3 linked regions of the Saccharomyces cerevisiae S288C genome follow. Changing the gene in region 1 together with any one later gene gives a genetic interaction. Each region holds a gene or a part of one and is shown in the gene's direction. Other genes may lie near its edges.

Region 1 (2,458 bases):
TACCACATTGAAGCTGGGTGTGGAAGATTTATTTGAAGAAACTAAAACGTACCCTGTCATTTCCTGAGTCCCCTTTCAACTTAGTGTGAAAGCCGAACAATTATAATCCTCGGTAGACAACAGATTTATTGTACTAAAGTTACTCTTCCTGTTATCTTCCTTGATTTTACTGTTATAGCAATGACCCACCGCAATCAGGAGAGCCGCCGTATGGAATAGCATACCAAGTCATAAAATCGTCAACCTATTAACGGGGTTCAGGTTCTTTTTCAGCGTAGTAGCCCTTTAACAAGCGCTGACAAAGTTGACACTCAGAGAAAATTCAGGATTTATTGTAATCCAGCTACTCATCCTTAGATCCGCTTGCAGGCATGGTTTTTTTCACCTTGAGAGGCTATTTTGGGTAAGCCAGGAAGGCTGAAAAATCCCAAAAGGACACAGTAATAAGAAATTGTTGTTGTTGTATGATGCATTTAGAACTCAAAAGACGAGTTTCTGAAAATGCTTACAATACTCCATAGGTAACATGATTTTTTTATTAAAAAAGTATACTGTTCCTTTGGGTAAAAATTATGCAACCCTTGAGTGTCCGATGAAGATAAGACTACGAAACAATTTGCGGTAAATTTTTTCTGCTATTGACATTTACACATGCTCCAATCCATTACCCTTTCCATTCTCGTAATAAAACCTCGAACTGTTATTTCATATTTACATCTAGACGGGTATCGGCCTCAACAACTCCAAACAAAAGTAAATAGAAAAGAGCCAGACCTATCGCACCGGGTAGAGCCAGAAAATATTTTAAACTATAGTTGACGTATTCTACGGCTGTTGTTTAGGACAATACTTTTTCCTTCACAGGCTTCGAATTACGCACATGCAGAACTCCTGTAGAAACCACGAAGAAAAGTTTAATTAACTTTCAAATGCCAGAACTAAAGATTGATGAAACAGTTATACGAATTTAAGGGGAACTTGCTTTTTCCTTTTGCTTCATCATAAGCGCAATATTCGCAGCGGTGGCGTCGCGTCTTACCATTTATCGGCACATTTTTCCGAAAAGGAAGGAAAATGGCGGTGTCAAACGGTCTGGTGTGACATCTAGAAGTTCGGCATTGCAAGTTAATCTACGGGAAAAAGAAAATTTTCTTATAACCCTAATGTATAATAAGGTTTTCGGAGAAAGCAACTCACGGGGAACAATTGGTTAGAAGAGACCGTAGAAGCGCCCCACTAACCTGGAGTTGATTATCGAGGATCTTTCTCAGAAAAGCAGCTAATAAATGAGCACAGTACTCAAAAATTACTCATAGTATTATAATTACTTACTTAGTCAATATGGCTGCGCTTTTAAAATGAGTATCTTTTATTTTTTGACAAGGAAGAAAAAGATGCAAGCAAAGAGAAATTTACTAAGTACAAGCTCATTTCCAAAAATTCAGTTTGCCTGTAACAATGGGTAGCGATCTTCAACATATGGGATTATGCCTTGAATGAGATTTTTGAACGTAGAGGAAAAAATCGCAGACAGGCTTTATTGTGCTGTTTGACATAGTATACTCAGCCGTTGTGGTGTTAATGAATACTATCGATGTGTATACAAACGTACTTCAAATAAGCAATGCGAATATACTGCAACTTTTCGGCCTTTGCAACGATTTGTAATGAATCCTTTTGCATCGCTAGAAGGACAAGATAATATTTCTTCTGTTTTTTTTTTACATATGCAACAATTTGAAAGTCAGGTCAAAGACAGATTCCGGTTCCCCATATTCAGATTGGAGAGAAAAACTTTTGGCAACTCATGTTACCAAGTCGAGACGCTTAAAGTTAAGTGTCGGCCAAGACACGCAAAATCTTGTAATCTTTTAACGCTGCTCTTCAAATCACGGACGCAATCAGTACTTGTACCTAATTTTGGTTTTCTAATATTGAATAGCGAACCATAGGTCGAAAATTTAAGGCCACATAAATCCAGAGCCCGCAACTTGGATAGGTATTTACTTGATTTTTAGTTTGCTTTCAATAGTGTCGTGAAATTATAAAGTACGCCGCATATATATCTTGATTAGTTAAAAATAGCAGTGTTCAATGATGATTTGATAGGGTTCATAACTGGTACCAGCGTAGTACAATTACGATTATCCATGAACATAAAAGTGGTTTAAGTACTATATATCAGTGAAGCTTCAAAGTAAGCAAACGAGATACCAAGATCTTGTAGGACCACGATATATAAGAAGCCTAGTTCCGTTGTAGCATCACATAGAAGAGAGCGACAATGCCTCAGAAATTCTACAGCAACAGAAAGCACAGTGAGTCATTAACTGTTGGAATAAGACTCAACTGCGAGCTATCGACTAGTACTTATATTACTAGTATATTATATACGGTGTGAAAAGACGACATGAAGATTGAGGAAATGGTCCCAAGATCTAATGGACACTGAAATGCA
Region 2 (2,779 bases), on another chromosome or scaffold:
TAGTAAAGAATCTTTTGTTACTGTTATAGATCTACCCAAAATTAATAAAGTAGCAGGGAAGAAGTTTGATCGCCTGTCTCTCTTATTTTTCAGCGTGCTATTAGGTGCCGATTACAATCGTGGAGTCAAGGGTTTGGGTAAAAACAAATCTTTGCAGTTGGCTCAATGCGAAGATCCTAACTTTTCCATGGAATTTTATGACATTTTCAAAGATTTCAATTTAGAAGATTTGACATCAGAAAGTCTGAGGAAGTCTCGGTATAGATTGTTTCAAAAAAGATTATATTTATACTGCAAGGATCATTCTGTCGAGCTATTTGGAAGAAATTATCCTGTTTTATTGAATCAAGGTTCATTTGAAGGCTGGCCATCAACTGTCGCAATCATGCACTATTTTCACCCCATTGTCCAACCATATTTTGATGAAGAAGTTCTCAGTGATAAATACATAAATATGGCTGGAAACGGACACTACAGAAACTTAAATTTCAATGAACTGAAATATTTTTTACAAAGTTTGAATTTGCCTCAAATTTCTAGCTTCGACAAGTGGTTTCATGATTCTATGCACGAGATGTTTCTATTAAGAGAATTTTTATCAATTGATGAGTCCGATAATATAGGTAAAGGTAATATGAGGATTACCGAAGAAAAAATTATGAACATAGATGGTGGAAAGTTCCAAATACCATGTTTTAAAATACGGTATACAACATTCTTGCCTAATATACCCATTTCTTCTCAATCTCCTTTGAAGCGCAGTAATTCTCCCAGTAGAAGCAAGAGTCCCACACGACGTCAGATGGATATAATGGAACACCCAAATAGTCTTTGGTTACCCAAATACTTGATACCTCAATCGCATCCATTAGTAATTCAATATTATGAGACACAGCAACTTATACAGAAAGAAAAAGAGAAGAAAGGTAAAAAATCGAATAAGTCTCGGCTACCACAGAAGAATAACTTGGATGAGTTTTTAAGAAAGCATACTTCGCCGATTAAAAGTATCGGAAAGGTAGGCGAGTCGAGAAAGGAAATCCTGGAACCTGTGAGAAAAAGGCTTTTTGTAGATACAGACGAAGATACTAGTCTGGAAGAAATACCGGCTCCCACAAGACTGACCACCGTCGATGAACACAGCGATAATGACGATGATTCGTTGATTTTTGTAGATGAGATTACAAACAGCCAAAGCGTTTTAGATAGTTCACCCGGTAAAAGAATTCGGGATCTTACACAGGACGAACAGGTTGACGTTTGGAAGGACGTAATAGAAATATCACCAATAAAAAAGTCAAGAACTACTAATGCTGAGAAAAATCCGCCTGAGTCTGGTTTAAAATCACGCTCAAGCATCACAATCAATGCTCGCCTTCAAGGTACTAAGATGTTGCCTCCAAACTTGACTGCTCCAAGGTTAGAAAGAGAACACTCCTCTGTCCTTGACCAACTTGTCACAGACGCACAAGATACAGTCGACCGGTTTGTAGCCTGTGACAGTGATAGCAGTAGCACTATTGAATGAGTTAACGGGCACAGCGTCAAAAAATCCGCCACCACAGTTGATCGCGCCGAAAACGAGGGAGTTGCGATGAGTAAAATGAAGGGCATATATAAACAAGAGTAGACAGAGACACATTTTTCAATATCATATATATAGATTTAATTGGAAAGACAGTTATATTCTAACGTCAAAAACTTAACAAGTAAATCAAGTTGCAATGTCGTCGCTTATTTCAAAAACCATTAAGTATGATCCAGCCAAGGATAAATTAATCACATTAGCATGTGGATGTTTTTGGGGTACAGAACATATGTATAGGAAGTATTTGAATGACCGTATAGTGGATTGTAAAGTAGGTTACGCTAATGGAGAAGAGTCTAAAAAGGATAGCCCCTCTAGTGTCTCTTATAAGAGAGTTTGTGGTGGTGACACAGATTTTGCGGAGGTTTTACAAGTATCCTATAATCCCAAAGTGATAACTTTGAGAGAATTAACTGATTTCTTTTTTAGAATCCATGATCCTACTACATCTAATTCACAAGGACCTGATAAAGGTACACAGTATCGCAGTGGATTGTTCGCTCATTCAGATGCTGATTTAAAAGAATTAGCCAAAATAAAGGAAGAATGGCAACCAAAATGGGGTAATAAGATTGCCACAGTTATTGAACCAATCAAGAACTTTTACGATGCTGAAGAATACCACCAGTTATATTTAGATAAGAATCCACAGGGATATGCATGCCCTACTCATTATCTGAGAGAAATGTAGCTTTTTTAGTGTACGTGCCCTTATTTATGAAAAAAAGTCAAGTGCATGAATGAAATATTTACTGTTGAAGAATTTATTATATATATAGGTATACAGGATCTATCTTTTCGATAACGTAACTTAGTATCACATGTATTAGTATTAATACTGTGATAGGATTGTTAGCTGTTGTTTTTATATTTGCAATTTATTTATGATCTTTTTTGATGATCAAACCGTTGAGTTTTTGAACATTAAAAAATAGTGAGAAAGAAGAACTGAAATGGGAATTGAATTGATCAATATCTGTAGTGGTCGGCCTTGAATGGACCTTCTTCTGGAATACCCAAGTATTCAGATTGGACTTTACTCAATTTAGTCAATCTAACACCCAAGTTGCCCAAGTGGAACTTAGCGACAGCTTCATCCAAGATCTTTGGCAAAACGTGGACACCAACTTCGAATGGGCCTGTCTTTTGGAATTCAATGTGCTTTTCTCTGAAAGACTTATCGTTAGACTT
Region 3 (4,231 bases), on another chromosome or scaffold:
AGTACCGTTAATGAACAAAAAGTTCGATGCAATGGCTTCTTTCCATTGTTTCAAGGTGAAGGGCACTATGTTATAACGGAAAAATGGCGAGGTACCAAGTTCAACGTGCGTGAAGGAGAAAACTTCGCTGACTTCGTATCTAGCTGCACTGGTGTATAAAGCATTATCACTTCCATGGGCAACTTCACCGACTGTCATTATTTCTCTACCATCTTTCACCCTGTTTTTCATAAATCTGTGTAGTTCTTGATGATATTCATGAATCCTAGGACCATTGTGAGACCCCCAATTTGGATGTTGTAATTTCGAGGTTTTGTCAAAAATTGGGGAATCTGGTAAACCAGGACGTTTCGAATACAAACCAGCGGTATCGATTCTAAAACCATCTACACCATGGTCCAGCCAAAATCCAACAGCACTTTCAAAGATTGCCCTTCTGCAGTCTTCATTCTCCCAATTCAAGTCAACTTGACGACTCGCAAACAAACGGAGGTAAAATTCATTTGTAGTTTCATCAAAAGTCCAAGCTGAACCACCAAAGAAAGATTTCCAATTGTTTGGAGGAATTGGCTTGCCTTCGGCGTCATAACCTTTAGGAGGTCTCCAGAAGAACCAGTCACGCTTCGGATTGGTCTTCGAGGATCTGCTCTCTTTGAACCATTCGTGTTCTGTAGAACAGTGGTTGATAACCAAATCGGTGATGAATTTCATACCCAGCTTATGAGTCTTGTCAATTAGCTCAAAACAGTCCTCGTTGGTACCGTATGTGGGCCAGACCTTTTCGTAGTTAGATATATCATACCCCATATCTTGTTGAGGAGAGTCATAAAACGGACAAACCCAAATAGCATCAACGCCAAGATCTTTAATATACTGCAACTTGGAAGTGATACCTTTTAAATCACCCCAGCCATCGTTATTGGAGTCTTTAAAACTTGCTGGGTAAATTTGATAGATTGTGGCCTCTTTCCACCACTTTGGTTCTGTTTCTGGATGATCAGAAATAGTCATTTATGTATTTTAGTTACGCTTGACTGATGTACATTTGAGATTATCAAAAAAACTGCTTAAGAGATAGATGGTTTAATTTTTTAGAGACGTATTAATGGAACTTTTTATACCTTGCCCAGAGCGCCTCAAGAAAATGATGCTGAAAGAAGAATTGAGGAAGGAACTACTCATCTTACGTTGTTTGTATCATCCCACGATCCAAATCATGTTACCTACGTTAGGTACGCTAGGAACTGAAAAAAGAAAAGAAAAGTATGCGTTATCACTCTTCGAGCCAATTCTTAATTGTGTGGGGTCCGCGAAAACTTCCGGATAAATCCTGTAAACTTAAACTTAAACCCCGTGTTTAGCGAAATTTTCAACGAAGCGCGCAATAAGGAGAAATATTATATAAAAGCGAGAGTTTAAGCGAGGTTGCAAGAATCTCTACGGTACAGATGCAACTTACTATAGCCAAGGTCTATTCGTATTGGTATCCAAGCAGTGAAGCTACTCAGGGGAAAACATATTTTCAGAGATCAAAGTTATGTCAGTCTCTTTTTCATGTGTAACTTAACGTTTGTGCAGGTATCATACCGGCCTCCACATAATTTTTGTGGGGAAGACGTTGTTGTAGCAGTCTCCTTATACTCTCCAACAGGTGTTTAAAGACTTCTTCAGGCCTCATAGTCTACATCTGGAGACAACATTAGATAGAAGTTTCCACAGAGGCAGCTTTCAATATACTTTCGGCTGTGTACATTTCATCCTGAGTGAGCGCATATTGCATAAGTACTCAGTATATAAAGAGACACAATATACTCCATACTTGTTGTGAGTGGTTTTAGCGTATTCAGTATAACAATAAGAATTACATCCAAGACTATTAATTAACTATGAAGGGATTATCCTCATTAATAAACAGAAAAAAAGACAGGAACGACTCACACTTAGATGAGATCGAGAATGGCGTGAACGCTACCGAATTCAACTCGATAGAGATGGAGGAGCAAGGTAAGAAAAGTGATTTTGATCTTTCCCATCTTGAGTACGGTCCAGGTTCACTAATACCAAACGATAATAATGAAGAAGTCCCCGACCTTCTCGATGAAGCTATGCAGGACGCCAAAGAGGCAGATGAAAGTGAGAGGGGAATGCCACTCATGACAGCTTTGAAGACATATCCAAAAGCTGCTGCTTGGTCACTATTAGTTTCCACAACATTGATTCAAGAGGGTTATGACACAGCCATTCTAGGAGCTTTCTATGCCCTGCCTGTTTTTCAAAAAAAATATGGTTCTTTGAATAGCAATACAGGAGATTATGAAATTTCAGTTTCCTGGCAAATCGGTCTATGTCTATGCTACATGGCAGGTGAGATTGTCGGTTTGCAAATGACTGGGCCTTCTGTAGATTACATGGGCAACCGTTACACTCTGATCATGGCGTTGTTCTTTTTAGCGGCTTTCATTTTCATTCTGTATTTTTGCAAGAGTTTGGGTATGATTGCCGTGGGACAGGCATTGTGTGGTATGCCATGGGGTTGTTTCCAATGTTTGACCGTTTCTTATGCTTCTGAAATTTGTCCTTTGGCCCTAAGATACTATTTGACGACTTATTCTAATTTATGTTGGGCGTTCGGTCAACTTTTCGCTGCTGGTATTATGAAAAATTCCCAGAACAAATATGCCAACTCAGAACTAGGATATAAGCTACCTTTTGCTTTGCAGTGGATCTGGCCCCTTCCTTTGGCGGTAGGTATTTTTTTTGCACCAGAGTCTCCATGGTGGCTGGTTAAAAAAGGAAGGATTGATCAAGCGAGGAGATCACTTGAAAGAACATTAAGTGGTAAAGGACCCGAGAAAGAATTACTAGTGAGTATGGAACTCGATAAAATCAAAACTACTATAGAAAAGGAGCAGAAAATGTCTGATGAAGGAACTTACTGGGATTGTGTGAAAGATGGTATTAACAGGAGAAGAACGAGAATAGCTTGTTTATGTTGGATCGGTCAATGCTCCTGTGGTGCATCATTAATTGGTTATTCAACTTACTTTTATGAAAAAGCTGGTGTTAGCACTGATACGGCTTTTACTTTCAGTATTATCCAATATTGTCTTGGTATTGCTGCAACGTTTATATCCTGGTGGGCTTCAAAATATTGTGGCAGATTTGACCTTTATGCTTTTGGGCTGGCTTTTCAGGCTATTATGTTCTTCATTATCGGTGGTTTAGGATGTTCAGACACTCATGGCGCTAAAATGGGTAGTGGTGCTCTTCTAATGGTTGTCGCGTTCTTTTACAACCTCGGTATTGCACCTGTTGTTTTTTGCTTAGTGTCTGAAATACCGTCTTCAAGGCTAAGAACCAAAACAATTATTTTGGCTCGTAATGCTTACAATGTGATCCAAGTTGTAGTTACAGTTTTGATCATGTACCAATTGAACTCAGAGAAATGGAATTGGGGTGCTAAATCAGGCTTTTTCTGGGGAGGATTTTGTCTGGCCACTTTAGCTTGGGCTGTTGTCGATTTACCAGAAACCGCTGGCAGGACTTTTATTGAGATAAATGAATTGTTTAGACTTGGTGTTCCAGCAAGAAAGTTCAAGTCGACTAAAGTCGACCCTTTTGCAGCTGCCAAAGCAGCAGCTGCAGAAATTAATGTTAAAGATCCGAAGGAAGATTTGGAAACTTCTGTGGTAGATGAAGGGCGAAACACCTCATCTGTTGTGAACAAATGATTTTTTTAGCCAGTAGGTAGATACGGCGTTATTTAATTTTATTTTATATAACTAGTACTTAACACATCGAGTTTATTTTTACTCGACATTATGACTTTTTTTTGGTTTTGTTGCGGCTTTGAAGTTTTTTCAACTAGAGGTTATTATTTTGTTCTGAAAAAACGTTAATGATTTAAATGAATCATTGTGATGAGGGTCCTAGATTTAAATATCTTGCAAAAAGAAGTACTAATATACAATTTTTTCATTCCCGTTAATGAAAATGCTTGAATTTTTATATTGTATATTGATACACTCTATTCATGTTCCGGCAACAATTATTTTTTTTTTAATTCTGTAAATTTACTTTTTGACGTATTCTTTCAGCATTTCTGTGCTTATGTTAGAATTCAAGAGAGTATTCCCTATTCCTGGTAACGTAAATTCGCTTTGTAAATCAACGATACATGATTCTCATATCCCAACAAAAATGCCACAAAATTTATATTAGTAAGCTGCCC

Evidence for each region. A genetic interaction does not mean that the proteins touch.
Region 2: mutations in YAL064W (region 1) and MXR1 together harm fitness more than expected from each alone (negative genetic interaction), as found in Saccharomyces cerevisiae (one large-scale study listed by BioGRID).
Region 3: mutations in YAL064W (region 1) and MAL31 together harm fitness more than expected from each alone (negative genetic interaction), as found in Saccharomyces cerevisiae (one large-scale study listed by BioGRID).

Annotation. Positions count from the first base shown.
Region 1 is NC_001133.9:19,899-22,356, forward strand, and holds YAL064W (uncharacterized protein), read left to right. Parts: upstream 1-1,667; coding exon 1,668-1,952; downstream 1,953-2,458.
Region 2 is NC_001137.3:233,213-235,991, forward strand, and holds MXR1 (peptide-methionine-S-sulfoxide reductase), read left to right. Parts: upstream 1-1,724; coding exon 1,725-2,279; downstream 2,280-2,779. Other genes in the region: YEN1 (crossover junction endodeoxyribonuclease), read left to right, coding at 1-1,528; SAH1 (adenosylhomocysteinase), read right to left, coding at 2,558-2,779. UniProt on the Saccharomyces cerevisiae protein: Has an important function as a repair enzyme for proteins that have been inactivated by oxidation. Catalyzes the reversible oxidation-reduction of methionine sulfoxide in proteins to methionine.
Region 3 is NC_001134.8:802,131-806,361, reverse strand, and holds MAL31 (maltose permease), read left to right. Parts: upstream 1-1,886; coding exon 1,887-3,731; downstream 3,732-4,231. Other genes in the region: alpha-glucosidase MAL32, read right to left, coding at 1-1,011; YBR298C-A (uncharacterized protein), read left to right, coding at 1,106-1,327. UniProt on the Saccharomyces cerevisiae protein: High-affinity uptake of maltose and maltotriose. Also transports turanose but not alpha-methylglucoside, melezitose or trehalose.